2 linked regions of the Oreochromis niloticus genome follow. The protein of the gene in region 2 binds, or shares a complex with, the protein of the main gene of each other region. Links are inferred from orthologs where the notes say so. Each region holds a gene or a part of one and is shown on either strand. Other genes may lie near its edges.

Region 1 (14,981 bases), on a different chromosome or scaffold from region 2:
GGTTACCACGTTTTCTGCAGAAGAGCTAAACTACTGTGAACTGAATACTTAGATTGAGTTCACATTGCAGTATCTTATCAGCGATATGAGTGTTTAAGTTTTCCATTACCAAATCGTATGAAAACCTCAATAGGATATACAACAGCCCCATTTTGGGACCTTCCTCATTAAATTCGAGTTACAGAGCCAGTCATCATTTAATCAATAGATTAACAGTAACACAAAACAATGTTTTTGGTGTATTTCTAATATCCTCAAAGACTTTTCTAACCACCTGCATTTAAAAAAAAACTGTCTCCAATAAATTCCATTTCCCAAACTGCAATGATACTTTATACAAGCTGTCTTTGAAGCAGAGCAGTGGTAGGTGTAATTAAACAATCCAGTATTTTTGGTGAAACCAGCAGCAGGATGCTAATGCTCTGAATAAGGATGTAACAGCTCACATCTAAATGAATTCTCACCCACAGGATGAATCATAATGACTGAACTCATAACTTTTCCTCTAGTATCAGAAATAGGTCACAATTTTAATTTGTTGTACTTTTAATTTAGGGGGAAAAATACCGGCAAAACAAATGACTTTAATATATTTTGTGTTTAACGTTAATTACCAAATATTAGCATGACACACAGTAATCTTATATGAGTTTCTATTTAATTCAAAGCCTCGCTTTGAGCGAGCATAGCCTCACAGCGCATCTACAGACTGTTAGTTTTAAATTAAAAGAAATCACAGACAAATAATAATAGTTCTGAAAGATAAACGCTTGGCAATGCAACTCAAATAGCAAAAGTTGCCAATAAAATGGCAATACACAAGAGCTGCAATCGGGTGCAACTGAATGAAATATTTCTTTTCGAGCAGAAAAATGGACTGGATTTATCAATTTATCTTCGACAGAGTCAGGACTTGCCAGCAGTGTGCAACCCTAAAACCTGGGTGGAGGCTGTAGAGGACACAATTCAGAGCAGGCTTGGCATGGCCAGCTGGTCTGTCTCTGCATATCTGGGCTGAGTCGAGCCTCCTATCAGCAGGACACACGATGATCCGTCCCTGTCTGCCTGCTAGCGTATGTTACTTCTAACAAGAGCCAGGAGTATCTAGCTTACAGGACCTCTGGGAGGTTACCTAATGTTATTGTAGCTATTTGCAGCATTTATAGGCATTCACACTGCCCTAGATTGGCAACCCAGTGTCCTGTAAGTATCAAAGCAGCAGTGAAAGAACAGTAAGCTGACCCATGAGTGACTTTTTAAGCAGTGTTCACCTCCTTTTATGCAGTAATGATGCACTTTATATTAGGATTAAATGTATTTTTAATGCAGCAGCACTGTTTAAAGTGCCCTTTATGCTCTTTTCTGCTTTAGTGCCTGCAAAAGCATTAGCAGGGTGAGACTGATAGGGCCGATAAGGAGAAAACACCTTGGTTACACAGAACAAGATGGCGTCTCAGGACCAGTTGAGACACGTTTTGGTCCCCTGCCATCAGCAGCGGTTGGGGTGTGGTCTTCTCTTCCCGAAAAACCCTGTCATACACTCTCTGTCACCACTGCCAGGGTCATCTGTTTTGTTCCAGCTCATGCTTTGGTTTCCTGTCGGTGTCACTTAGTCATTTTCACCCATTTTTATTCATTCGTACTTTCACACATCTTTTGTTCTGCGCTTTTAATTCACTCGCGCTCTCTGTATCTATCTCCTGTTTCAATTTGTCCCCAAGTGACTCTCGTCCCATTATTACCGCTCCTCACAGTTTCTGTATCTGTATCAAATGTATCAAATCTCCATCTTTTTCAGCTCTGAGCCCTCAATAACTCCATTTCCATCTCTCTTTCTGTCCGTCTCTAGATGGGTTTGAGGTTTTGCTGTGAAATGTGTGGGTGGGGAAAAAAAAGAAGTCTTTTCTGTGCAGAAAAATGATAACCTATCATTTTTCAGTCTTGGTTCTCAGCCTGTCGAAATGGATTTGCTCCCAGCAGTGTCACAGAGTGTCTCTAGAAATGTTTTTTATAGTGTCTCAAGGTCTCAGTGGGGCCATGCTGTGGGCACAACCCCGTGGCCTGGCCCCCTCTCACCGTCTGCCTCAGTCCCCATTAGGTTTCCTCCAATTTTTTTGGCTCCTCACACAATTTGGTCGATGCTTTTCACCTTGCTGCTTTGGAGCAGAAGGTGAAGAACAGTCTGTGCACTTTTGTCATCTTTCCCAGCCTCTCTTACTGTCAGACATACCAATTATGAAAAGCTGGAAAGCGGCTCTCTTACCCCAAAGATCACCTGCACAAAAACCGCAACAAAAGGATTTGAAGTTTTCCACTTATTCACTTTACAACACAGAGAGATTTTAGTTGACTTTGACACATGAACAAGTCTACGGAATGATCCACTTTGTATTACGAGACTGAATAGCTACTTTAAATATTGCATGGCAAACCGGCTTCGTATCTTCAATGTGAAAGAGAACAGAATCTCGAATCTGAATTTCTAATACTGCAGATCAAATTGAGGTCTTAAAGAGATCTGCTAATGTAGGTGATACAATGATCATAGGGCTGTGCAAAGCTTTGATTTCCTTAACAATAAAGGTAAAATATGTAAGCAGTCCGGTTACGCCTACATTTTTATTTACCATAGCCATGTTTATATTGCTAGTAGCCCTGCATGGAAAAGGCATGTGGTGATGAGACAAAGCTGTATATTATTAAGAAACATATCATGACTATCTACATGTAAAAGAATGGAGATGCTGTCTGTTTGCTGTTTGCCTTGTAAAATGCAATCTTAGAGTCCTACTGCCAACCGCACAGTGCTGAGAAGTTTTCCAGTGAAGTAAAATTCTTTGTACATTTTATATTTGTATCACTGATACCTAAGGTAGTACATCCCCACCACAGCAGTTTGCCCTACTGTTGTCTCCCTGCTAATTCAAAATTTTGGCAGATCTTGAGCGTTGTTATTTTCATGACACATTAATTGTCACCCGTGTTTGTTTCCCCTGGTGCACATACAGTATACCTGCACAGCAAGCCAGGAAATTGAGCAAAGAATAAAATGAAATGTAGTTCTACAGAAAAAAGAACCTGCCTTTCCTATTTTTTAAATCGTTCTTCGAGAAAAGCTAACGGTGGAGGAACAATAATGGAACTCGAGTCACAACTTCAGACTAGCGACAGAGGATAATCAGCTCTCGATTTCATTTTTTCCCCCTCCAGTCATCTGGCAGCTGCAGAGCCCAGGTAACAATTTAAGGCCTGTTACTGCTGCTCCTCTAAAATGCACTGCCTAATAACAGCTCTCAAAGTTGACAAAGCTGAATCTTTAAGAAGTCAATTGAAATGCAAAGGAAGCTCTCCACATATTTCTCACGAGAGGAGCGAAGCTCTCACCTCTAAGCCAAAAAGAGTATGCAGACAGACAAAATGAATTACTGTGCAATCATTATTATAGATTTTGCACAGTGTGTCATGTTACTTTACTCTATCAGGTGCATCCTCTCCTGTGAATACTGCCACTTAAGCACCAAACAGCAGCGGTTTTGATGGCAATCACTTCACATTTAGGACAAATGAATTGCACAGAGATGTTTTAAAAGAGCATTAAAGTATTTTATGTCATTCGGGGTGGCTTTCATAAACATCTCTATCTCTGAATCAGATTACACCTACATAGATTTGCTGTTACGTAAACGCAAAAGTCAGGAATGGAGCTTATCTTCTGCATGTTTTAAAGAAGGGATAAAACGGCACAAAACACTCTGCGCTGTTCACCTATCTAACATCTCTGGCCTATTCCGAGGTATACTTTCATCCCAACAACCCACGTCTTCAAAGTTGGATTTGGGGAGAGTGAAAACAAAGGAAAGTGATCAACTACTGTACATGTGGCTACGAGTAAGAACATAACGGCATACAGAGGGAAGCCTTTGGTGTATTTGCCAAAGTAGAAGATTTTCTGGTAAATGAGAGGTTTGTCTTTCATCCAGTCTGCTCCAGCAACAGCTTGCAGACATTCATGGGGGGTGACGTTGCAAGGCATGATGGGGCTGCAGCCAAACAGCACAACGGGCAGAGCCTGCACAGAGAGAACTGCCAACTCTTTTGCATTTGTTCAGAAGTTATGGGAGCTTTTGAAGCACTATAATGATGCCTTTGGCCAGGCTACGCTTTGTTTATGCGCAGCAGGCACTCACTGGAAATGAGCAGAGGCAGCCTTTTTAAAGCTTTCACAAAAGAACTGCAACTGCCAAAATCACATTTACTTCAGAACTACAGACTTAGCTTACTTTTTTTTTTTTTCTCTCCAATTTATGAACCAAACTTCTGTGTGGGAAGACGTGGAACTGCTGTGTAGCGTATAGTTCGTCATTAACAACGACAGACAGATACAGATCAGCCTTTCACACAGAGGGAGGCATTGAACAGTTGATATAAGCCCCCAGGCAGGAATTCATCATACACAAAAGCACTCATGCATATACTCATTCAAACCAACAAAGACACATTTCTATACTAAAAAAAAAAAAAAATGAGGAAAATAGATTTAATGAATTCTCAGCGTTACCTTCAGGGTACAACTCTCAAACTGGACAATGGAATGTACATTCCTTTACAGATAAAATCTAATCCACCTACAGCGACAAGCAACAATCTCCAGACGAACACAACAAGGTCCAGCATGTGCTGCGCTACTCTGGAGCCGAGGCTGATTGAAAGCATCTGAGATTTCCCAGTGGAAGCGGTCTTTAATCAGATTGGTGCAATGCGAGCGTTTGTTGGCATTACAGTGAACAGCAACTGTGTACAGATGATAATTTAGCATAAAGAGTAACATGAAAGCAACTGTATGGAGTTAACAGCCAAAGACACCACCATGTGTGTTCACTGGACTTTCTTTCTGGTGTAAGATGTGCTAATCAGTCAAACCACATTACACAAACAGATTAGAGCAAAAATGATGCTGGATATAAACTCTGCTACAAAACCCTTTCCCCCTCCGTTCTTGACATTTATGAGTTAACCAGAAAAACATTCATTAAACCATTCATTTCTCGGGCTTCAGCCACAGTAATGCATTTTAATTTAAAGAGCTTTGACTTTGACTGAATAAGCAGTTTTAGAGATGATCTACGTCTACATTAAGTGCCAATTACACACGCTGGGCAAGGGTACCAATCAGAAGGGTGAAATTACTACAGAGGAATAACAGCAATGACATAAAGAAAGCCCAAAGATTGCTTTAGTTGGACCTACAATCAGGTGTAAGTGTGACTGAATATAATGCAAAAGCATAAGAAAGCCAGGTATTATCCATCAAAGGCAGAAGCCGTGGCTTTGGAGAACAGAGTCAAGCTTTGACATGTTTTGGCTTAACTTTTGTGGCCCAATCAGAAAGCAACTGCTGGCTTTTGCGTCATCACTTCCAAAATGTTTCTGCATGTCCTGCAGTTTTTAACTAAGAGTCCTGCGATGCTGAGGTAATGTGGATTGGCTTAGTAAAAGTTATACATTTCGAAATTTAAAAAACAAAAAATGTATCAGTGTGGCTCTTTCCTCATTTTCTGAAACATACTGGATAAACAGCCAATTGATAAAACACAGTCGTGAATGAGACTCCTGATGTTCAGGAAGATGTCTCCAAAACAAGACCCTTTTTTTCAGGAATACACACTATGTGCATAAGACAATAGTCCGTGCTTTTCTCCTCTCAGTCCCAGAAGTTTACACATAGTGCCCTTTTAATCTCTACATTTTTAAACCTTTTCTCCTTAAGTCCTCTTTGGCTTCTTTTATTTGCTCCTGTAGCTCTTTCGCCGCCTCCTCACAGTCATTGAAGGTGGCCACCCTGTATCCCACAGTGGCCAGAGAGTAGCAGCCAAATGAAATCAGCAGGTAGAAAGGCATCGGCCAGGCGACCTCTCTGTAAGTCTGCGGGAGGCTCAGGTCCAACAGGTCAAAAGTGACCAAAGCCCAGAGTGCGCCCAGCAGCGACACACCGAACAGCCACTGCAGAAGTTTGGTCATGATGAAAGCTGCCGACGGGATTTCAGGGGAGCAGCCACAGAACAACCTGACAGGGAAAGCACTGGATTAGCTTAGCTTTAGCACACTGTAAATGCAACATGTTAGCCGTTTTGGCTACAACGCGCGCGAGAGACAAACAGCAGTTGGATAATTAGAATAGAAACAGCCATAAAAACGCAACAGACTTAATAACAATTCATCATTCATTTCGACCTTTAAAGCATTAAATCTTTTCAAAAATATTCCGATTTGTTTACCTCTTCTCAAACGCCACCTCAGCTATGCGCACATTAATGACGTTAAAAGGCCGCGGTGCCTTATGGGAAATGGAGTTAATGACGGAAATGGCTCTGGGTTTCTAACAGAGGGTGAGTTTTTATCTGGACTTTTTTAAAATAAATATAACATTTTTGTAACATTTTGATTAAACTTTTCTTAATTTATATTTATACGTTTTATTATGCACAGCACTGTGCATAATAAACCCCTCATTCACCCCTCATTTCTTTAGATTTTCTTTCCAAGGAGCCAGACATCCCTATAATTATTTTTAAAGTGGTCTTAAGTAATACTTCTTAACGCTTTCTGAAAGTCTTTCAGACTTTTCCCAATCATTCTACCTAACCAGGATTTTTTTTCAGCTCTGAGCCCGAATGACCTAACAAAGACTTGGCACCTAACTCAAGGAATGAGACACGGGTGTGTCTACACAGACAACATAGTAACAAGTTGGGTTTTTTTTTTTTTTTTACTTTTTATTAGCAGCCTATCACAAAAACACATTTGTGTCCATTTCTTTATTTCAGTCTATGAAAAAAATTCTTGAAGAAGGGAAACAAGGAGAAAAGACTGAGGTGTAACAAATTACTCAATAACTGGGCTGAAAATCAGTGGCAACAGGTCTGACTGAGTGATGAATCCAGATTTGACATTTATGGTTTAAATCACCATCAGTATGTAATGACGAGGTTGGGGGATAGGTACAATAGTGAGTGTCTACAGCCATCTGTAAAACACAGTGGAGGCTCTGTCATGGTTTGGGGCTCCATTTCAGCCAGTGGGGTTGGAGATCTTCTCAAAATTGATGAAATTATGAATGCAGAAATGTACCAGATTTTGGTACTCCATTTTTGAGCATGGGAATGATCCCAAACACGTTGCCAATGCAGTAAAAGCATACCTGGAGAGAAAACACACACAATGGAACAATATGAGTCATGGATTGGCCTCCCCAGAGTCGGGACCTCAATATTATTAAAGCAGTGTGGGATCATCTTGACAAAAAACAGAAGAAAAGGCAGCCAACATCCAAAGAAAAGTATTGGATGTCCTTCAGGAAGCCTGGAGAACACTTCCTGAAGACTACAAGAAAGTTTGCCGAAGAGAGATCAGGCTGTGACAAAGAATAAAGGTGGTCATATATTGACGTTTAAGCCCATGTTTTTGCTATATAAACTGCATATTTATTTGAATGTTTTAATAAATTGCTGCACTTATTTCCCATTTTCCTAGCAAAATATAAAGACACGAGGAGCAGCTGAAGACTTTTGAGCAGTACTATATATTTTTATTAAATCTCATATCAAACTAATACCAAAAGACAATTTAAGTTTTAAATAATATTTTTATACAAACATTGCTCCTTTTTGTTGTATCTGTATGCATTCCACCATCTAACAATCAATACACTGTCATTTTAATGATTTATAAAATCCTTATTATATTCTATAATTGCTTTCTTGTTGTAGTTATCGAACGGTACAGAAGAAGTAAGAAGACAGTGTTTGGGAAGATTAAATAGAACAGCTCCCCGTGTTTTTTGCACGTCTCAATAAATCTTAATGTTGTCGCTGTCTTTTCGCTTTTCATTAAAACACTTCACTAAACTGCTGTCTGATTTATTAACAACACCAGTACCCTGTCAGCTGAGAGAAAGCAAACACTTTGTCAAGCGAGTCTTTAATGAGGCCCCCAGTCAGGCTTTTAACACACATTAGACCTCTAACTTACATTAGACCTCTAACTCTGCCTCTGTGTCATCCTCTTAATTTAGAAAAGCCATTTTGAAAATTAGATTACCATTAGCACCACCTAAAAGCTATCCATAAATACTAATGCTTTTTTTTTTTTTCCAAAGCGAGGAATCCAACAACAATTTAATTAGGGGCCACCGGGAACTCACAGTCATTTGATCTCAGTTTCTCCTCGGGTGCTCTGGGGCATATCTGTTCAGCTGGGGTGATGAACTGTCCAGGTGCATGGGACAACAGATCTCTCCAGGGTAAAGTCACCGGTGGGAGATGTAAACATTATTCACGCAGCTGTAAAAAAGGGAACACACCGAAGAGCAGCTGAGAAATAAACATCATTCTTTGGGGAAAAATGGAAGTTATTCTTAGGATGGTGGTGTTTATGTTTATCCGCATTAGTGTTAATAGTGTGAGTGACAATCTGTGCATGTGCCAGAGGGCTAGATCCTGTTTCTTCTGCTAATGGAGACTGCAATATGGAAGACTTGAGGCTAGTCGGGTTTTATGTCTGCGTGTTGCAAAACATTTGAAATGTAACAAGTTTGTATTTTCAAGGATACTTTATCTTGAGAATGACTCGGTGACTTTGTAAAACCACCCTCGCTTCTGTTATTACATGGCCTACATGTTTATTGCTTGTGACTGTCATAAAAAGGAGCTGCAGCACAAGTAGGGGTGAATGATGCAACTCCATTATGTTTTATTAGCTTTTTAATGGTTCAATAATCAGGATCATGAGCCCACAAAGAAAGCTTCACAAAAGTCTCAGAGTTACTGATTCTGAACAATTCAGTGACATATGGGAAAAGCCACATCTGGAAGATTTAAAATATATCTTTAGTAATTAGCTGATTATAAAACTTAACACATGACTTCCTGTGCCCACTAAGTGCCACTGGAGAACACCCAGTAATCATAAGTCATGTTGCTGTAGAGCTTAAAGTGAAAATATTGCTAATATCTAACAATGTTTATGATGGTAATGCTACTTTCCTGTCACCGCTAGGTGGTGCTATGTCTGTAAGTCAGTGTCAATGACTAAATAAAAGAATCGACCAATGATTATGACAATGAGTGTTTTCTGCAGTCACTGGTCAATACTGACATGTAGATGTTTCCAGACCTGGACTCTGTCAAACTTGTGAAGCTTGGGACAGATGAGTTAGAAGAACAGATGAGTGAGGAAACATCAAAATTCCTCATGTCACCCTTTAACAAGAACTCAAAAGCATTACAACTTAGCATCACCAAAGTCTGATGACTAAACTGATCAAATATCATATCAATCTTAATAAATCTGTTGGAGGAGTCAGTATCCATGACTGAGAAGTGTGAAAGCAAAGTCAGGACTCTTATCAAACATGCAAAGTTTAGATTTATCTTGAAGGTCTTTTAAATGAAGTCATTGCAAAATTGCCTTAAAACTGCATTCTATCTTGAGTCCAGCAGATGGTGAAAGCTGTGGTTGCAAAGACTTCCCATCCTGCTTCATAAAAAACAGCCTTCTGACTTCACATGTGTAAACAGTTTCCTGCTGTGCTCAGTCAATCGTTTTGGGCCATACTGGATAAAGTCTAAGTAAATCTAACTTGTAAATCTTAGTCACACTACCTGCCAACATGGAGAAACTGCACATTCATTGGATACAAGTTGTTAATCGCAAGTCATTAGCCAATAGGCAATGTTGTGGTAGCTATATGTCCATCTTTATTGCTGTCTATGGGTCAGACTTGTATATTTGGGTTATTGACATATCAAAACTGGCCATGTCACTAGGGTACCGCCGTTTGATGAAAACTGACAGTTTTCACAATAAAGCAACATCAGCTCCTCAATAGTTTTCAAATTTCATGTGGTTCTGGTCAACCAACTTGGAGAAGCACATCAACATATAAAACAGATCATTTTCTGTTGTCACTATGTGACACTATAACCATCATTAAAACAAAAATGTAGAGGTCCTTAGGGCTGGTTTTCCTGTTGAACACGAGACGTTTGGGCCACTCTGGATAATGTATGTGTTATTTACAACAACTTAAAGTTTCATGGCAACTGATCGAAATTCACCATCACACCACGGGCACGGCCTTCAATGAAAACTCAAAAGCTTCGCATCTTATCATGGGCAAGTTCAGACTTAAGAATTATGGAGGCAACCTGATATGGAGATGATCTGGAAAACTCATGTTTCGGTTCTCAAAAATGAGATCTATTTGGGTAAATAATAAAAAAGAAGCAGACAGGGTCTGCGCACCGTCAGTCTTTGGAGTTTAATCCTGTTTTTGCATTTGGCCCTGCACTTGTTACTGTTAAGCAGACATGACATGATACACACCAGACTACCAAGGTCAAGTTTCTCCATCGCCATGATAAAGTGAATCCTGGTGGAATTACCCATGACATGCCACATCATTACATACATCATAGCGTGTGCCGTGTCCTGCCTGGAATACAGTGGTATGGGCAGCGCTGTGAGCGCGTGTGACTCTCAGTGGGAACGGTCGAGCTGGCTTTTCTCAGTGTATCTCCCTGCCAGCTCCTGTTCCGTTCCAGTACTCAGGAAACCTGTCCTCCAATCGAGCAGGCCTGGCAGACACAACACAACAGCCTGCGAGAAGGAGGGGCATGAAAACTGAGAGAATGAGAGGGAGATACTGAAACTGGAAAAAAAGAAACAGAGTGGGATATGCAGAATAAAGCAAAAAATAAAAATATAGGAAGACAGGGGGTGTGTAGTGAAAGAGTTATTTTTGTAAAAGAACCAGAAAGAAGGGGTGGGTGGGGGCTTTCGAAGCTGATAGGACAGGAGAGGACCAGACACAGAAAGCTGAGAGGACCACAAATAAAAAAGAAAGGGCTGACAAAGTATGTGAAAGAAAGAGGAGAGGGCAACAGAAAAAATAAGGGGAGGGAGGGAGCAGACAAGGGGAAAAGCTTTAGACAGGGGGGGTGAAATCAGGAGATTTGCAGGTGCAGCTTGAACAACCAATGACCTTAATGGTGCATTAAATCCAGCTGTTGCTTATCCAGACTTTCCTCAATCCCTCTAACACCTTCAGCGGCACAAAAACCTGCATGAGGCATCTCAGTTCCCACAATGGGGAGTGAATATATATATATAGCAGTGCAAGTAAAAGGAATGAGAAACAAAAGCATAAAGATGGTGTGTGACAGGGATTGGTAGAGATGGTGATTGTTGAGGAGATACTTGATCTTTAAGAGCAGAAACTGCAGTGATTGTGTGACTCCAGCCAGAAAGCAAGGATAAGGCCCATAGATAAAACAGGAACAGTGGTAATGGAGCGTTGTGTTGACTCTATCTCCTTGACTTTGTCAATATTAGCCGAGTGAAAGGTCCAGATAAGAATGTGTGCTACTACAAAGCTATATAAGGATCTAGATTGGCTAGATAGTAATTGTGTAATATCTCAAGTGTGTGAAGCAAGCTGGGTAGATTAAAAAAAAAAAAAACGCAAAAAAAAAAGGCAGAAGGAGAGAGGAGGGGGTGAGTGTGTGTGGACTGTCAAAATGCTGTTTAAGATAACAATAGAGCCTGGATTCAAAAACAGGAAGCCTCTGTTTCCTGAGCTGGAGACTGTAGCTGTGTGTAATGTTGTCATTAGATGTGAGTGTTGATGTGCTTGAGAAAAAGCAAAGAGTGACCTACAGTCCAGTCCAGGTTCCATGCAGAGATTTTTTTTTTTGGGTTGGTGTAAGAACAAGAAGAAGTGATACGTGTCTGGGAATCCAAACAAGGGGTAAAACAAGATGAAATCTCTCCAGCTCAGGATTTTTTCCATGAAAACGTGGGTTGGAAAACATCAACTTAAAAATCAGTACAGCCTGGCTGGAAAATGCTAAACCAATTAGCAAAGGCTTAGAGCTCATCAACCTCAGATTTACTGATGAAAGATGAAGAATCATCGGAAAAAGCATGGCCCATTTCTCTTTAAACCTATTCAGGAACTAATTTAATTGCAATATTCATTAAAAACTTTTACAGTGCATTCACTAGAAATGGAAAATTGTGAAGTGTATTTACGTTTTTAGTAATAAAACTGAATTGCCTTTTTTTAATCTACTCTTTTACTTAAGTGTTTAAATGTAATTTATGTCAGTGCCACAGCCTTGATGTGATGTCTAGGGGAACACTGGGAGTTACTGGAAATATGGGACCAAGCGCAACAAGGGGAAAAAACAGCGGAAACACTCTTAAGTGTATTAAAGTATGTCATTTATTTACAGTGAGATAATTAACAAAGACAAACCAAGTGCGAAAAACAAAAGGAAGCAGATAAGTTTCAGAGTCTTCCAAGGCCAAAGAAATAAAAGGAAAAGAAAACCCACAACGCCTAGGGAAACAAAACTCAGTTGGTCTATGGAATCAAATTGTTTCCGATGTTACCACAAAAACATGAGAAGAGGAAAGCAAGAAACAGATTGCCACCCATGAGTTATCAAGTATTCCGGGGTCATAACAGGATACTTATCAACAAGCTCAACAATAGATGACACTCTGAGGATGAGTGGGACATGATGTCCAGCCCCAATGATGGTCTGATGACCTTTAGGCGTGGCTGACAACCCCGAAACACAATGAGAGCAACATCGCTCGTCCAAAGAGAGGTCAGAAAAAGTGTTGTCCTTGAGGGTAACACTTTGAGTATTAAACTTTAGATGTCAGAAGTCTCATGAACAAAAAAGTAACAAAATTAAATGCTAAATGGCTAAATGCTAAAATGCTTACAGCGGAACCTCCAACTCCATATTCGATGTTCAGTGAGGAGCACCGCCATAATCCTCTCTTTTGAAAGATTTTGAGAGGCACGGAGAGATAGAATAGACTTGTTATATTTTAAACTGACAATAAATGAACTGAAATGACCTGAAAGAAGAATCAGATGAAGAACAATTTTTTAGCTAGGTCTTCCTGCCACTAACTGTCACTGTTACCTGTCACCACAACCTGAAGCTTTAATGTCTTTGTTTTCAGTCACATTTTTAGGCAGATATGTGTTAGATCAAGTTTCAAGTGTTAATTTTTTACATCATGAATAATGGTTTCAAGTCTCAGTGCAACAAGGTGTGTGTTATCCCAATAACACCATTAGGTCAGGCCTGTGTTGATGTGTCCTTAAACAAAGCTACTTCTCAGTTGTCTCCTTTGTTTTCGGCTTCAAATGGCACCTTTGTGCCCAGATGGATCATAACGAGTGAAGCTGAGTTTGTCTGCTAACTTTAAAGTTTAAGAAGAGGCTCTTCAGACAGTTGAGGTGGCCATGAATCAAAGTAGGGGCATCAGGGTGGAGGACCCGGCTACTCTTCTCATCGGGGGTCCTGGACTTAAAGTGGGACTCCTGAAGGTTTTGACATTGATAAGCACACAGCTCATAAATACCCTTGAGCCGCGATCATTTACGGACAGCCAGCGCCTGTATTAAATTGCAGACATAATAGTTGTGAGATCCCTACGCTACTTAGGGCCCGCTTAATGAAGTCTCGGGCTACTCCGTTGGGTGTAAGGTCAGAGTGTGGTCAAGTGTGACCATCCTTAACCATGTGAGACCAGCACTTGCCCTCGGTGGCCCGAGTAAAGAGACACACCTGTTTCAGCTGCTGCTGTGATGGCAGCAGTGAAACAGTGGAGGAATGTGGCCCCCACCCTTCACCCTTCACCCTCCACCTCCCACGCCCCCCATTCCCTCTTCTCCTCTCTCTCCACGCTATCAATGCTGTCCTAATGAATCTCATCACACAGCCTGCGTTTGTCCCACTAGTGCTTTGTTTGTTGACCTTTATAAGACGTCATTACTTGTTATCTTCACGTGTAATTCTGCCCCATAACACAACCCCTTCAGCCACATTCATAGGCCACAATATGTGTGTGTGTGTGTGTGTGTCAATGTGTGTGTGTGTGTGTGTGTGAGTGTCTGATCAAATGCTTCTTGTCAGTGTAACAGCCATTAACAATGAACAACGGGCATAAGCTTGATGATGTCTCCCTCCTCCCTCCATCCATTCTCTCCTCTCACCCTGAAACACAATGTCCTTTAGGATTACCGTTATTGACAGTGGAACTAATTGGCACATGGCTATGAAAGTTCCCCCACCCACCCCCCGGCCATTTTAAATTGGACTGCACAATTTCCTTCAACATCTGATAGGCAAGTATGCCCACAGGACCCGAGGAGGTATTGATTATAAATGTATTAATGTGGGTCAGTGCTGTGCACACAGCAAGGGGCGGATGATGGAGAGCTGCATGTCTAGACTGGAATAAACTGACCTCGTCTTGTGTTTACATAATTGATGGTAATGGCAGGAAGGGGGAATTCTGTCTAGTAGTCCGATCTGCTCACTACATTCTTTTCCCTTGAAAGAGGTGATGCAAACAGCTCTTTGGGAGATGCTACTGTATTGCTAAATGAAATGCAGCTATAGACCATTAGGAAGACAAAGCGCATTGATTTTAGTGTAGACATGGCAAACTTTATTTCACTGATGTATTAAGGAGGCCTGGGATAAACTGAAACAAGCATTAAATAGGCAGATCTGCCAAACTGAACATCAAGTTAAAGACAAAAAACTAATTACGCCCAGTCGATGGATGCAAGCATCACTGACTGCATTCAAGATATCGCTTTCGGTGTCTCATTATGCAGAGAATGACCTTTCTTGTTTCTTTACTTGCTTTGCATGAGTGGGGAAATCGCATAGATTTGGTCATCCAAGCACAAATCCATATGTTATTGATTTACTCTACAAACTAATTATGCATTTATAGCGGCTACAGAGTTAAGCTATTGCGCAGTACGCCAAATATAATCAGCGCCGGGCGCTTGAAAGGTGAAGTAAATCATTTATTTCACATTTACAGGTCAGTTTTGCAATTGAAACCACACAAAGAAACGCTATTGTTGATGCCGCTGGTGA
Region 2 (15,691 bases):
ACTCCGTTGTTCAGGAATTGGTCGCAATTCAGCGGGGGCCCTGCAGAGGGCACTGGCGACATACTCCATAATGAAACAACACTTATGTCCTTGACTTTTTCTTACACTGAAGCTGATTTTGTCCTTATGGTAGCATTCTGCTAATACACGCAGACTTGTCAGCAGACTCCCGTGATAACAGTGGATTCCAAAAGGTTAATGGTGTTGTGATCAAATGCATTTTACAGGAATCTGAAAACCAGTAAAGAATCTATAAATGGAACTTTATCTATTGACTTTTTTTTTTTTTCTTTCAAATATGCAATGAAGAAACGGGAAGAAAAATATTTATTTGTTGAGAATGACAGAGTTAAACTTCCATAAGGGCTGTATGGAGTCACTACTACAACAATCATCAGGAAAAAGCCAATTTACTGAAAGACCTTGGAGGTCAACGTTCTGAGTCCAAAATATCAATAACTAATCATGTTTAATTCAGGCTTTAAACTCCTTAAAGAAAATCAGTAAGAGAAGCTGCCTGCATCCCCAAGGGAAAAAAAATCTCAAGGCCAGTGATAAAAAACAGTTTAATCCTATACAATCAATCATAGGTGGAGCACTTCAGTGTGCACTTTAAGTCATGTGACAGCTTGTTAATGCAGAGTTCAGTCAGCTGTCTGGGCCGGGAATGACGAGACGCTTTGCCAGAAACTGATTAAAGAGGATGATGGGAATGTAAAGCACTATGTTTCTTTTGTATTCTTGAAGGTCTACTGACAGGGACTTCTTTTATATTTACACCTAACAGGGAGAGATGTCTCCCTTGGTATTTGCTGTCGTGCTGCTGTCTGACCACAGGCAAGTGGAGTTTTTTTCCCCTCCTCATTACAATTCTGATAGAACCGTATTAAACACAGTAAGAGGAAGACTATAGGCCTGTGGGTTTTACAAACTGAGTAAATCACTGATCATGTTGTGGCAAAAAGCATGAGCAGTCCCTTGGCGTACGATACAATCTCATTCCCTCCCAGTTTGGACTCTCCATAAACCCGGTCCACAAAGGAAATGGGTACCTGTTGGAAGAACCACAGATTTGTTTTACATGCAGAAATCCATGATTTACTAGTTATGAGAAGAGTTAACATGATTTTAATGTCATAAATAAAAATCAAAGGTAACAGTAAAAGGGTCATTTACTGGATTTTTTTAAAAATAAAACCAGAAAACATTATGCTGCAGGTTCTGTTCAAACACCACAAGAAAATGACCCTCCTGTGCGCCATTTCCTGCCAGGTCTATCCAGGCAGCTGAATCAGAGTATTTGCAGTAGTGTGAACATGTCTGAAGAAGACTCTTCTCTTTTGTTTGCCATTTACAATTAAGGATCTAGTAGCCTAAAGTCCATGGAAAGAGCTCAGACAGCCTCAAATACACCAATTAGCAGTCTACTTTTTAAATGTGGCACTTCAGATTTAAGTATACACTGAATACTTCCTTTAGTTTAAAAGTAGACTTTATTCATATCTAGAAAACTGTCTGTAGGTGGGTTTGACCAGACCCGTTTTACATGTTTAATATAACAAAATAATAACTTCACAAATGTGAAACTGTGTCAAATTGGTAAATATGGATGGCTGAAACTGAACTAAAAGTATTTAAAAAAAAAAAAAGATCTTAACTGAAATAACAATGAAGCTTTCAGAAAAGAAATTACATGAACACTGAGATAATATTTAACTTAACCTAAACTACAGGAAGTGGCTCCATGGTGTAGACATCATGGGTTTGATACCAGAAGGAGGCACAAAGTCAACCTCAAGGAGTGTACAAGTTACTGCACTCCTGAGGGGTGTAATACGAGGCATAAATCAAGTGCTTAGCGAGCTATCTGGAGCTTAAAGCCTGAGGTTTCTGTGTGGCGGAAGTGGATCTCTTTTTACCTGGCTAAATCACCATGGTAACTTATGCTAAACACACAACCTGCTTGGGAGCGGGTTGCGTTCAGGGTTTCGGTTTAAAACTGCCGGAAGTTTTCACAGATTCTATTATTTACGGCATGTTTTAAGTGCAATATAGATCCTGTGCTTGGGTGGCTTCACAGTGTAGCGGTTAACACATTTGTTCAACAGGTGAAAGGTTGAACAAAAGACTCAAATCCCTCTCTCGTTGTGTTAGGAAATAAAACTGCCGAATCACAACGTGCGGCGCTACAAGCTGCAGTGGCTCTTTGTGACAATGGAGGTAGTTATTATGGATATAGAACACATTTCATGTGTGCATGTCATGGGAATGAATTAATGCATGTATTAATCTGGAGTTAAATGTTTTTATATTTGATTCTGATCTACTGCTAACTATTTTACACTAGAATTGCAGCTACAAGAAAACAGAAGTAAACAGCAGCACCGAAGGCTCACTCATCATTAAAATAATTCCCTTAAATTAAAATGTTTATTTTACTGCTCTGTGCACTAAATCCCAAGATTAATGACTTCTACAGCATTAATTATCTGCAACAGTGCTGCAGTTCACTGTTTTATGTTCTTTATAGATTTTAAATTACCAATTTATCATCATCGTCTAATAATGTCTCTCACTGGAGTAGATGTTATTCAAAGGGATCTTTGTAAGCAGAAGAGTCACATGATGTGTCAAACACCTCGTTTTATGTGAGCGTGCTGAAAGCAGTTTTAGATTTTTTTTTCCCCACACTAGTTAACACAATGAAAACTGGCTGTGTTGAACTTGTTTCATAGTACGCCCCTCTGCTGTAGAACTCTGTGCATGCACTTCTATCCACTGTGGAAATCCCTTGGGAAATAATAAATAGCCAAAAGTAATTAACAACAAAAGCACATATAAAATAAAATAAAATAAATAAAGAGGCTTTCTATCACACTTAAAGCATACAAGTAACACAAATAAGTGAGAACACGGTGCTTCCAGCATGTTCAGCAGGAGTACCACAGTCATCTAGCCAGAGAAAAAGAGAGACTGTCATCTGGCTAACCCGCAAATGTCGCTGTATACCTTCTAGCAAGTGTTTGGCTTTTAAGCTACACCTGCTCTAATAGGATATTTAATGCAGATTTTTTGGGGGGGAAATTGCTCCTTTATCCTATATTAAAGTCGCAAACATTCTATGAAATCTATTTCTGTGTGTATATGACCCATATACGCATATTGGTTTTGAAGCTATGTGGTCTGGACACAAACAAAGCTGTGAAATTGCTCTAAAAACTGGTTTTAAATGTGTTAAAGCTTTTTCTGGGAGTTCTTCACTCCTAAAAGTGCTGTAATGAAGCAGAATGCAGTTTGAAAGCTCCTAATAGCAAGCCAAAAACTGTAAAGCATTAAAAAAAAATTAGATACTTATTACCCCTTTTTTAAAAACAAGTCAGCAGCTTCCTGCTCACACAAATCAGACTGATTAAATATGAGAATCAAATGGTTTTCTTGGCCTGCTTTTTCATTTTTCAATTAGCATAAAATCAAGAGGAAAAAAAGCACTCAAAAGAGATGAATGACAAAAATAACACATTTTCTTTTTTCCTCGATTTTAATCCTCAACTAAAAAAATGAAGAGAACGAATGACACACGAATGATTTTTCTCACACTGAACTACCTGAAAATTAAACACATTTAAAAAAAAAAAAAATTATTAAAGCGAGAGAGAGAGAACCTCACCTCTCCGATTGTGTAGTTGAGTTGTCTGGCTCGGACGATCATTTCCATCTGAAAGACGTAGCCTTTGGACACACACTGCTCAACAAGACTCTCCAGCACCTTTTTCTTGTATAGTCTGAAGTCAGTCAGTGGAGGAAAAAAAATAAAATAAACACAGCAGTAGTGAAAGAAAATACAGCTCTAATTGTAACAGTCAGTAGCACTTAATTCACAACATCACAACAGTAACACCATTTACCTGAAGCTGCCTGTGAGATCTGAAGCACCAGGTCTCAACAACACCTGAGCCAAAAAGTTGGCCCCCCGACTGTGAACAAGAGGAGGAAGGGGAGGAGAGAAAAAAAAAAGAAGAAAAAAAATGAAGAAATATAAAACTTCAGCCTCTTGCCTATTAGGTGAGTGGAAACTGATTACAAAGAAGTGTTAACCAGTAGTGACCTGATGAGTTTCCTGCGAAGGTCCCAGCCGTAAACCCCTCCGTTCCCTCGGTATCGAGTACCAGAAACCAAGTCGTAATCGCCTTCCTTCTGCTTCCTGACATAACAAAAAACAAAAGGTATTTGAAATAAAAGGAAAGACACAACTGTCATCCAAGGCAGAGATGCTGAATAAATATTAATCTCCTGGAGCTGATTTAGTATTTGTTAGCTGAAATTTTTGGCTGATACTGAGCTATGACAGACAAACAGTGCTGTGCAGGGTATTTTTTTTCTCTACATGCATCAGGTCATCAAACACATTTTTGTATTTACTCAATTTATGTCTACAGTTACCACAGACTCCCATGTTACTTCAGCTTTGTGATGAAATTCAAAATGCTGCAGCACACAGCTCACTACTACGTCACACCTACATGGATGTCAGTTATTCAGCTGAACCTCTCCATCATGCTTATTGGTGCCTATTGAAGTTGTGCATGCACAATAAAAAAAAAAATCCATGTTTCCTCAAATTTCATCACAGTGTTGTCAGTTCTGTTGCCACAGATTTTCAGTCCACCATACCTCAGCCTTTTTTCCCCTCTTTGCCAATTGCAGATTCTTTCTTTACTCCCTATAAATCACCACTGGCATTGGTCCCTAAAATCCAGCCAAGTAAGTCTGGCTTTACAGAAATAAAAATATAGGAAATGTGAATTCAGAGACACTTACTGAATAAATTCTGGGATAAACTTGGGCTGAAATGGAAAAGAAAAACATTAAGATTATTGCTGACAAGAAATAACAGACAGAGAATCTGTTATACTTAACATTTTAGGCACATTAGAAATGGCAGAATGTATACCAGTAACCTGGTTGTAGCTAAGAACAATTGACGATTTAGGCTTTAGGGCAGCGGTCTCTAACTTAAATGAGCTGTGGGCCACTGCTGGTACTGTCATCTCATTGGAGGGCCACTTTAGTGTTCAAGTAGTATAATAACAAACAAACAAACAAAGTAGGGGTGATGTGGGCCGCAAGTGGCTCCCGGGCCGCGAGTTTGAGACCCCTGCTTTAGGGAATATTAACGAATTGTCAGCTGATCTAAAAGAAGGAACTGTTGATATATGATTAACCACTTAATCAGAAAGATAACCTGAAGAGTGGATACTGAGACTGTAAGTTACACATGTAAAATTTTACCACTTACTGTTGTCAAGCCATTAAAAGACGAACACAGACAGAATGACTGAAACATGCTCCACTCACATGATGGGAAAGATCTGCATCCATTATGATGATGAAGTTCCCAGAAGCATGCTTCATGCCGTGGATATAGGCAGTGCCTTTGAAAGAAAACAGCAGGACAAACACTCTGATGAGCAGATGACAAAATTTACTAGAGCTTACACACTCATTCTGGCACAGTTTAATACTTACCTAAGCCTAATTTTTTCGCTCTTGGTCGTAGCAGCTGAAACACACACAAAATAGTTTAAGTAAATCCTTTGGCATGGACAGTAAATACTATGGCAAATACTTCCCAAGCAAAACAACGTTATGACACATTAAATGCGCTCTTATTTCATAAATACTTTCGTGATGTACTGTTGGTACTTCTTAAAGTAACATATCTATCTTTACTGCTTTAAAACTTACGATCTTGTCCTCCCCATAGACTTTCTGAAGCTGCTCTGCCACCTCCAGTGTTCCATCTGGGCTTCCGTCATCAATAACAATTATCTCGTAGTTAAAACCACTGTAAATAAGGCAAATGAAATATAAGAATACGGCAGCAATAAGTAAGCTTAATATTACCCTTACAGCTCTTATATTCTTGAAATCCTACACTGACCCCTTGAAGTCGAGCTACTGACACTTGTTTAGTGACAGCTCATCATTGACTTCCACCGTTAGCTAGCACGAGCGGAGAGCCTTTGCTAACTCCCAGTAACTCACCTTTCCCCGAAATACTTGACAAGCAGCCACACTATTAAAGGCAGATTTTCTCTTTCGTTGTAGGTGGGTAATAGTACTGAGTATTTGTCCCCGCTGTCTCGGTTTGGCCGCGACGTTTTCCTGCTTGCCATGGCGACGTTGAGCTTCTGCTCCTTCTTCCTTATATTATTTATAGGTGGTTAGCAAACAGCAAAATGGTGCATTACCGCCACCAACTGGTGTGGAGTGTGGACCTAAATGTCAAAAAACGCGACGTTAATCTACTGCAGGTTTTTTTTAAGATCTTTATTTAAAGATTAGTACAATACAAAGTAAAATTAAACAGTATTACATTAAAGGTTTTGTACGTCCAGAAATTGTGTACCAGAAACAAACAAACAAACAAGCATTAGCCAGAACATACAATACACATACGCCAGGGGGAGAAGTTTATCTAATTAAGCCAGAGAATAAAGTGATTGAAGGATCTTCATTTTTTTCACATACAACCATAGTTTTTTTTTATAGCTTTAGTGAACAGGGTCAGTACATTTCTGCAGGTACACTGCTTAAAAAGCAGCACGCGACATCCTGCTTCGTCTTCTTCTATCTATTTATGGCAGATGGCAAACAACTTCAGGTGCATTACCGCCACCAACTGGTGTGGAGTGTGGACCTAAATGTCAAAAAACGCGACGTTAATCTACTGCAGGTTTTTTTTAAGATCTTTATTTAAAGATTAGTACAATACAAAGTAAAATTAAACAGTATTACATTAAAGGTTTTGTACGTCCAGAAATTGTGTACCAGAAACAAACAAACAAACAAGCATTAGCCAGAACATACAATACACATACGCCAGGGGGAGAAGTTTATCTAATTAAGCCAGAGAATAAAGTGATTGAAGGATCTTCATTTTTTTCACATACAACCATAGTTTTTTTTTATAGCTTTAGTGAACAGGGTCAGTACATTTCTGCAGGTACACTGCTTAAAAAGCAGCACGCGACATCCTGCTTCGTCTTCTTCTATCTATTTATGGCAGATGGCAAACAACTTCAGGTGCTTTACTGCCACCATCTGGACTGGAGTGTGGATCGGAACCGCATTTGCAGCTTTAAGTGTTTACATTTGTCAGCCAAGGTTTTCTACAAGATTTTTTTAACATGTCTTTGGATTTTTTTTTTCTTTTTTTTTTTACCCATTCATCCAGAAGAGCATTTGATATGTAAGACACCAATGTTGGACGTTTGCAATCTCCATTCTGGTTCATCACAATGGTGCTTGATGGAGTTAAGATCAGGGCTCAAAGCAAGCCACTCTGCTTCTATGGCAAACACATTCAATCATGTCTTTATGGACCATGTTTGTACATTAGGCCACAGTCATGTTGGAAGAGAAAAAGACCCTCCCAGAACTGTTCTCACAATGTTTTAAGCAGACTGGTCCAAAATGTCTCGGTAACCTGAAGCGTTATCTGGAAAATAGACCTAATTACATCAAAAATATAATTTCAGCGACACAAGTGACAAAGACTTGTATATAAACTGTGCCAATCAACGGGCATAGTTGTAGTTCTTCGAGGTTTGTGATTCAGGAATCGGATTCAATTCCTGCCTTGGGTTGTCAGCTGTAGGACGGCCTCATACCACTCTAATTAGCTTCATTGTGTAGCTAGACAATAATAAAAATAGGAAAGTTATCGTTATATAGCTTTCATTCTGAAGAGCATATGGCTATGGATACTAGTGACTATAAGTAGCCAAGGATTATGGGCAACGCTGTGTTCTGTGCTCCCGTAACTTGTTAATTGACAGCTTCCAGTCAGTGGGTCCTTTGTTCTCTGATGCTTACATCTTCAAGCGCCATAACCAAGGTTCTATATTAAAATGGTGGCTTTTCATTGGCGTTAACTTTAGACATCACATTTATAAGGCTCTTTAAAAACGTCATTTATTAAACTTTTCTCTTACCTGAAATCAACAGGCTATCTTAATTCAATGCAGATTATCACAAATTTCACACAGTATATCAATATTCTATGTGTTTCTTTTATGAGCTGTATCTTAACCATGTAGCTATCGAAATTGTGTTTTAATGACATTGTAGGTACGAATAACAACAAAAATGATAATATTTGGCAATTTTTTTATTATGAAAGATAACAAAATTGAAATACAAAACATTTATATGTCAAACAGGGAACAAAGCTGTGTGCTGTTGTAATGGACATGGAACTGAAGTTGAAAAGCTTAACATAAGAAAACGCTGGGAAACAAACAAACAAACAAAAAACCTCACTTTATACTTTCCATATTTATTGATTGATCCGGAGCGAGTCCTTTGTCTCCCAGGAAACTCTTCACCACTGAAAACAGAATGGGGAAAAATGAAGTTCCCCTCAAAGACAGAACATAACAAAACATGTCTTTTAATTTTTCCCACAGTCAAAGCACATGCCTGCTTGCTTGCTTGGAAAATGGATGTGAGGTAGAGAAAATGCCCAAAGTGTATAGAATAAATGTGATTACATTTGATCTGTACTCTAATATGCATATGGGTATTACATCTATATCTTCCCATACATATCCCATGGGCATTGGTTTAAAGTTGTCATTGTTTTAGCATATTTTTCTGTAGAAACTGCCTGATGTTTTATTCTAAAATGCATAACTGATACAAATTATGTCGCTGACAAACAGACAAGACAAAAGGAAGCTTGTTGGCAGTTTTCTGTGCATTCTATGTATTTTCTCACTCTTTCTTCTTTTGCACTCCTGATTGGGAAAGTCTCTAGTGAGGTGTGGTAGGAGCACTCTGTGAAAAAACATCTATCCCATTTTATGGAAAAGGAGCAAAATATATTTAGCAGACACATATGGCTTGGGAAATTTGGACAGTAAAGGGTTTAAATTGTATCGAGATTATTCCGATCCTATGACGTGATGGCTGGAAATATGCACAGAAATGTTGAGCCAAAGATACAAAGCACAATAGATAGATTGCCTTTGGACCCCTCATGCAAAGGCAGCCTGTCACAACATGCTCCATTAGGAGATGGACCCCAGAAAAGGAGGATGCTCTGAGAGACTGCTATGACACCACAGACTGGGATGTGCTTCTGATCCCACATGATGAGGACATAGAGGAGGCGACACACTGTCATACATAGGTATATATTTTATTTTCAATACCGAACTGTCATAAAACATATAAGTACATATAGAAATAATAATCTTTTCCTATTTCTTTTTTATAGCATACACAAAACATAAATGAGATGAATACCTAAATACATGAATACCCCCCACTCCCTCCCAATAATGAAAAAATAAATATTTTGCAGAGAAAATGAGTTGACCCATCAATAAATAAATAAATAAATAAATAAATAAATAATAATAATAATTAAAAAAAATCAACAATAAAATATTAATGCATTTCCTTATAGTTTAATATTAACATTAACATCTGGTAGCCTCCTAAAATAAGGTCTTAACATTAATCAATATTGATATAAATCTTATCCAACAATAGTAACAATATTTGTGTTAATGGTTACTTGCTCCTCGTCGAAACCAATTAATAATGCTGGAATATCTTTAAATAGAGTATTTTTATAAGGTAGATCAGCCACTGCCAGGAATAGCAGAAAAATTTGTACATCATCATATGGTGGATTACAGAGAGATTTCTCGTGCTGGTACCTTTTCTAAGTATTTAAGTAATGGTTTCCAGTAAGTAAAAAATCTATCCGATGAGCCTCTGATGGAGAATTTTATCTTCTTCAATTTTAAGAGTCCTAAGATATCCTGTAGCCAGACTTTAATTAATGGTGGCTGAGATGATTTCCACAACAACAAAATTCTTTTTCTAGCAATGAGAGAAGCAAAGGCAATAAGGTTATTCTGAATAGCTGTAGTTTGAAGGTTATTTGGTGGTTTGCCAAATATAGCGATATGTGGAGTCGGAGTCAATTTTATATTCAATATATCCGAGATTATTTTGAAGAATTGATGCCAAAATTCGCACTGTCATACAAATTATCTCAATTTTTGTGTGGATGCGGTCGCCCCTGCTAAGGTGGTACGGTGTTATCCTAATAACAAACAGTGGGTAACACAGGAAGTCAAAGCTGTCCTCAACATGAAGAAGAAGGCCTTCAGGAGCAAAGTGAAAGAGGAGATGAAGCACAGTAGGAGGTGAAACACTGCCTGAGGGAAGCAAAAGACTCCTATAGGAGGAAGGTGGAGCAGAAGATGGAGAGGAACAATATGAGGGAAGTCTGGGATGGTGTAAAAATCATCACAGGCCACAACACCAAGAACAACACAGTGGGGGGGACTGTGGAGAAGGCAAACAAACTCAAGCGGCTCTTTCTCAACCTCCTCCGACCACAGGTACAACATGCCCAGGACCCACTACAGTTCGGCTACAAGGCGGATGTTGGAGTGGAAGATGCTATTCTGTACCTCCTACACAGAGCCCACTCACACCTGGACAAGGGAAAAGGCACGGCCAGGATCCTGTTTCTTGACTTTGAGTGCCTTTAACACAATCAGGCCCTGTCTGCTCCAGGAAAAACTGAACAGGATACAGGTAGACACCTGCCTGGTTGCTTGGATTGCCAACTACCTCACCAACAGACCACAGTACGTCAGGCTGAAGGACATCACAGCAGAGGAGCACCACAGGGAACTGTGCTGTCCCCTCTTCTCTTCACCCTGTACACCTCTGAATCCTGCCATATTCAGAAGTTTGCGGACGACACAGCCACCATGGGGTGTATTTGGGATGATCAGGAAGAGTACAGGAGGCTGGCGAGGAATTTTGTTACATGGAGTCACACAAACCACCTGCAACTCAACACCTCAAAGACCAAGGCAACTGGTTGTGGACTTGGGGAGGTCCAGACCAGGTCCACTGCCAGTTCAGATAGAGGGAGAGGAGATGGAGGTGGTCAACAAGTACAAGTACCTGGGGCTGTGTGTGGACAACAAACTGGACTGGTCATGCAACATGCACCACCTGCATAAAAAAGGCCAAAGCAGACTGTACTTCCTCAGGATACTGAGGTCTTTCAACATCTGCACGAAGCTCCTGAGGTTGTTTTACCAGTTGGTGGTTGCCAAAGTACTATTCTATGCTGTGGTGTGCTGGGGGAGCAGCACAGCAAAGAAGGACTCATCCAGGAAAAACTAATCAGCAAGGCTGGCTCTGTGGTCGGCATAAAGCTAGATACTCCGGTGACAGTGGCAGAGAAGAGGACATTAAAGATGGCTTATGTGAAAATGGGAGAAGGGTTGATGATTGAATTTCTGTTTTTACAGTAAAATGGTCTTCTAACAGGTAAACATAAGAAAATATTTTTTTTTACACCAAAAACATAAATCATAACTTTAAAAATGCAGGATCTGAATCTTACCTTCACAACAATACTGATAACATCACCCCATCTTCTGAAAGGGTTCCTTGACAAAGGCTGTTAGTCTGCAGCCAGGGGTTAATATTTCACATCGGATTTCTCCTTTTTTGCTCTTCTTCGCACAAAGCAGCACTGCTTTTTCAAGCTGCAATAAAACATAATATTTATTTGGTCAATATAGTAATATTGACCAGCAAAATTGACAGCATCGAAGTTAAAGCCACTCAGGGTGATCTTTACCTAGTGGTGAGTTTAGCTTTTTGTACTTGCTGTGTTCATTTTCTTCTCTTAAAAGAAGCACAGGAGAACGACTGTCTTTTAAAAGATTTCATTCACTGTAGCAGTTGAAATTACAAGTTACAGCACGCTGGACCTTGATGTGAATCAGCGGTCTGCTTCACAAAAAGGATGGCCCTGTAAGCGGGCAATACAGTTTTACACCACAACAAAAACAAGTATTATTATGACTATCTTCTTCTGGGAAGCAACCTGGCCAGAACAATACACAAAATAATACAGAAACAATTCAACAATCAGACAAACAAATACAACTGAGACTTTTTTCTCAGAATTCTGGAAAAGAAGAAAAAAAACATGTGCCCACTTTTTTTCCCCCCAGTGGCCCTAATCCTCTTCCGTAGTAAACAGACCTCATCACAGAAATGATGAATTAAATCATCAATCGGACGGATTTTTTTCATAATAATAAATGGGTGTCTGTGATGACGCGTCTTTTACAGGCTAATCAATTCACAAATATTCAGCAGACTATTCCACAATAAAATCGAACTACAGCTTTAATATCCTGCTTGTACATGAATGCAATAGCAATAATGATCAAATAACATGACAAAGTCAAAAGGGACATTTTTGGGGGGCACTTTTAAGAGTGTAAGTGCATTTCTAAATATATTTCAGCACTTTCACTAACTACTTAAAAGTAAGATCAGTAACAGAGAGTTTATTTTCTGCAGTGTGGTGCAAAGTATTTGAAGGGAACAAGAGTTTCCCCACTTCGGTCCAAATGACCTGCCTTTATTTTAGCAAATACGCTAGGATTACTGCAGCCCCAGGGAGCGAGACTACTACAGCAGGCAATTTGACAACAACATTTTGCTTGTCACATACAGGTTGGCTGTGCTCTGCAAAATAGACCCCACTGATCTCCTCAAGATGGTTCCAATGAAGAACTATGACACTGTCATGTAATTTTTTTCACCCTTCTAGCAGTCTTTAATCAATAGCATTTCATTACATTATGACTTTATTTTCACTGACACAATGCAAAATTGGCTATGCAGTTTGCGTTGTTGGGTGCTTTTAAGGACCAGCCTTGAATTTCATAGATTTGATAAGTGAAGACTGGATATTTAGTGACGAGAGCTGGGATAATCTGCAGGCTACATCTGCAAATCAGAAATGGCTTTAGATTTGACGCTGGCAGACAGGCATGCATGTCTCAGGGTGATTACATACTAACACATTGTGATTAATTACACACATTTTTATACATTTTATTAACAAGATTAAAAAAAACATAGAAAAACCATCCAAAAACATACACCATAAGAAATATTATCCTACACTGTTTTTCTCTTTCTTTTATACACAAACAAATTCTTGTCATCAAAGCTTTGGAAATCATTAAATGTAAACACGAATAAGCAATTAGAATTCATACAGTTTAAAATAAACATGGATATCCAGATACAGTTAATACAATTAACAATACAACAATTATCATACACGTGGAAAGAAACATTCTCACAGCATCATTTATACCATGGAAGAAAAAGAAGCTTTTCCACCATGGATTATGCAATTTCATTCTTCTTGAGGCAGTTAAGGTTAGAATGGCAAATGAAATACACAGAAAATAACATATGCAGCTAAACTATTTGGCATTGATACAGTGCATGAATACAGAAACACGGCAACAAAGGTTTCAGTGCGAATACATTGTTTAAGGCAACACTTTACAGATTCCACTGGGAAAAGATCTCTTATGAAGCCATCCATCAACTGGTAGGTTTTGTATGAGAAAGCTTCCTAATTGTTCTTAAGTGAATAATTTCTTAGCTGATTTGAAACATGAGTGAAGATTTTAATAAGAGAAGAGAAAGACAATCTTCCCTTACTATTTTCCTTTTCAATGCAGCAAACCTCTTCAAACCGCCAATGTCAGTCTTTTGCTCACTTCCAAATGAACCCGTCATTTCCTACAGATGTCAGTCACCTTACCACTGCCTCCTGCATGTTTTCTCCACTCAAGGCTGGTAGTCATCATAAGAGTCTTCTGTGTGAAGAAAGAAACTTGAAAAGGATGCTGAATAAGTGAAAATTATGTCTAAGTTACCCAATTCTTTCAAATGAGAAGTGCTTTGCATGACTCACAGTTGAACACAGTCCACAGTGATTTAGTAACGTGCAGCTACTAAAACAAGCTGGTTTACTTCATCTCCTTTTAAGTCAACCCATTCTTTAAACCATCTATCTTCTGATTGGCTGCCCCTCATAAACGTAAGGTGTGGACAGCAGATTGGGACTTCAGCACTCTCAGCCAAAATTGCCATATTACCATAAAAGAAACACTCAACAACAACAACAATAAAAAAACACACACCAGAATTTGAGAATAGAAATCCTGCCTACTGCAGCTCTCCCCTTACACCAGACAAACATAGATACATGCATGTACTTACACATGTACTTCATTAGTTAAAACGAAACAAAAATCAGGCCTGGATCCTCATACTCATATTCCCAGGGTTGCATGATTAGTACGCCTTTCTCTAGCTGCTAACCTGTTTGCTGGGGAATCATGCGGCAGCCTCCGCTGTTGTCACAAACACCCGGTGGTCCAATCTCGCCCGGCTGACCCGGTGTTCCGGAGATCCCAGATGGCCCCGGCTTACCATTTTCCCCTTTGGGACCTGGGATTCCCAGCTTAGACTCACCAGGAGGTCCTGTGGACACACATTTTAAAACAGTAATACCACATTTTATTTTAGGTGCTTATCAAAACACTCAAGATACGGGACAGTCAAAAACAAGGAGTTTATCATTATTCATTATTAGCACATATAGCAACGGCTGCTTTTCCAAACAGCTGAATTATTCTACTGGTTCGCCACAGGGTTGTTGTCTCTCCCCTTTACTATATATCTGTACACTAACGACTGTTGCACTACACAGGTTAACAGGCATTTCATTAAATATGCAGTTGACACAGTCATTGTAAGCCTCCTTCGTGGTGAAGAGGATTCCCGTTGGCCTGTTGTGGATGAGTTTGCTTCTTGGTGTGATCAGTCATTCTTAAAGATCAACACTTTGAAAACTAAGGACATGGTAACTGACTTCAGGAATCCTTCTCCCCATTCTGCACTGACAGTAGTAAATGGTGCAGCCATTGAACTGGTGGACAGTTACAAGTATTTGGGGGTTGTTCGTTATAAGGCTCTGTCCTTTGAGTCACATCTTGCTGCTGTAGTGAAAAAGGATCAACAACGACTGTACTTTTTAAGGAGAGGTTTTAACGTTTCATCTGAAATGATGACCCTTTTTTTATAAAGGTTTTATTGAATCTGTTTTAATGTTCTGTATCATTGCTTGGTATGGTAATGTGCCTTTGAACAATAAGACCAGCTATCTGGGTAAAGTGGCTGATCAGATTTCAGAGAGGCCTCAGGTCCAGCTTGCGGACTTTTATAACAGGCAGGTGCTGAGGAAGGCAACCTCTGTCATCTTGTGTTCAGACCATACTCTCTAATACAGCAATATAAAGTGCTTGCAGTAAAGACCAAGAGACAGAGTGTCTTTTGTACCTGCTGCTATTATCATGGATAATAACACTAAACATAAGGGTTGTTGCCTTTACACATTGCACTTTGTTGACGACAAAATTTGGGCTGTTCTCTCTGGGCTTTTTAAAAAAATGTATTTATTTATTTTTGTGTGTGTGTGTTGTGTTTGTTTATTTTTGTCTTTCTGTGTATGGACAGACTGCAAGTCAATTTCCCACTGGGGACAATAAAGTTAACATCATTTCAAGATTGGTAACTTGGACTGTGTGTGTACTTTTATTATGTTACTTATGCAGAAGTACCTGCTAATCCCTTGACCCCTGGGGGACCCTGGACATTGGACCCTGCATCACCTTTATCCCCCGGCGCACCTTTCCTTCCTGCAGAGAGGGAAGAGACAAATCAACGTGATAACTTTTGTTAAACATCAAACTCTAAG

The links.
Region 1: dpm1 (region 2) and dpm3 share a complex: the UniProt entries of both Homo sapiens proteins name them as parts of the dolichol-phosphate mannose (DPM) synthase complex. The link is inferred for Oreochromis niloticus from reciprocal best matches to the Homo sapiens genes DPM1 and DPM3.

The regions. Positions count from the first base shown.
Region 1 is NC_031985.2:17,174,711-17,189,691, reverse strand, and holds dpm3 (dolichol-phosphate mannosyltransferase subunit 3), read right to left. Parts: upstream 6,362-14,981; 5' UTR 6,276-6,361; intron 6,065-6,275; 5' UTR 6,019-6,064; coding exon 5,740-6,018; 3' UTR 4,524-5,739; downstream 1-4,523. UniProt on the Homo sapiens protein: Stabilizer subunit of the dolichol-phosphate mannose (DPM) synthase complex; tethers catalytic subunit DPM1 to the endoplasmic reticulum.
Region 2 is NC_031984.2:31,713,070-31,728,760, reverse strand, and holds dpm1 (dolichol-phosphate mannosyltransferase subunit 1), read right to left. Parts: upstream 6,232-15,691; 5' UTR 6,177-6,231; coding exon 6,046-6,176; intron 5,846-6,045; coding exon 5,746-5,845; intron 5,561-5,745; coding exon 5,527-5,560; intron 5,433-5,526; coding exon 5,356-5,432; intron 4,845-5,355; coding exon 4,819-4,844; intron 4,202-4,818; coding exon 4,106-4,201; intron 3,975-4,105; coding exon 3,906-3,974; intron 3,783-3,905; coding exon 3,668-3,782; intron 1,053-3,667; coding exon 948-1,052; 3' UTR 310-947; downstream 1-309. Other genes in the region: slc35h1 (solute carrier family 35 member C2), read right to left, coding at 13,717-13,745, 14,254-14,415, 15,555-15,632. UniProt on the Homo sapiens protein: Transfers mannose from GDP-mannose to dolichol monophosphate to form dolichol phosphate mannose (Dol-P-Man) which is the mannosyl donor in pathways leading to N-glycosylation, glycosyl phosphatidylinositol membrane anchoring, and O-mannosylation of proteins; catalytic subunit of the dolichol-phosphate mannose (DPM) synthase complex.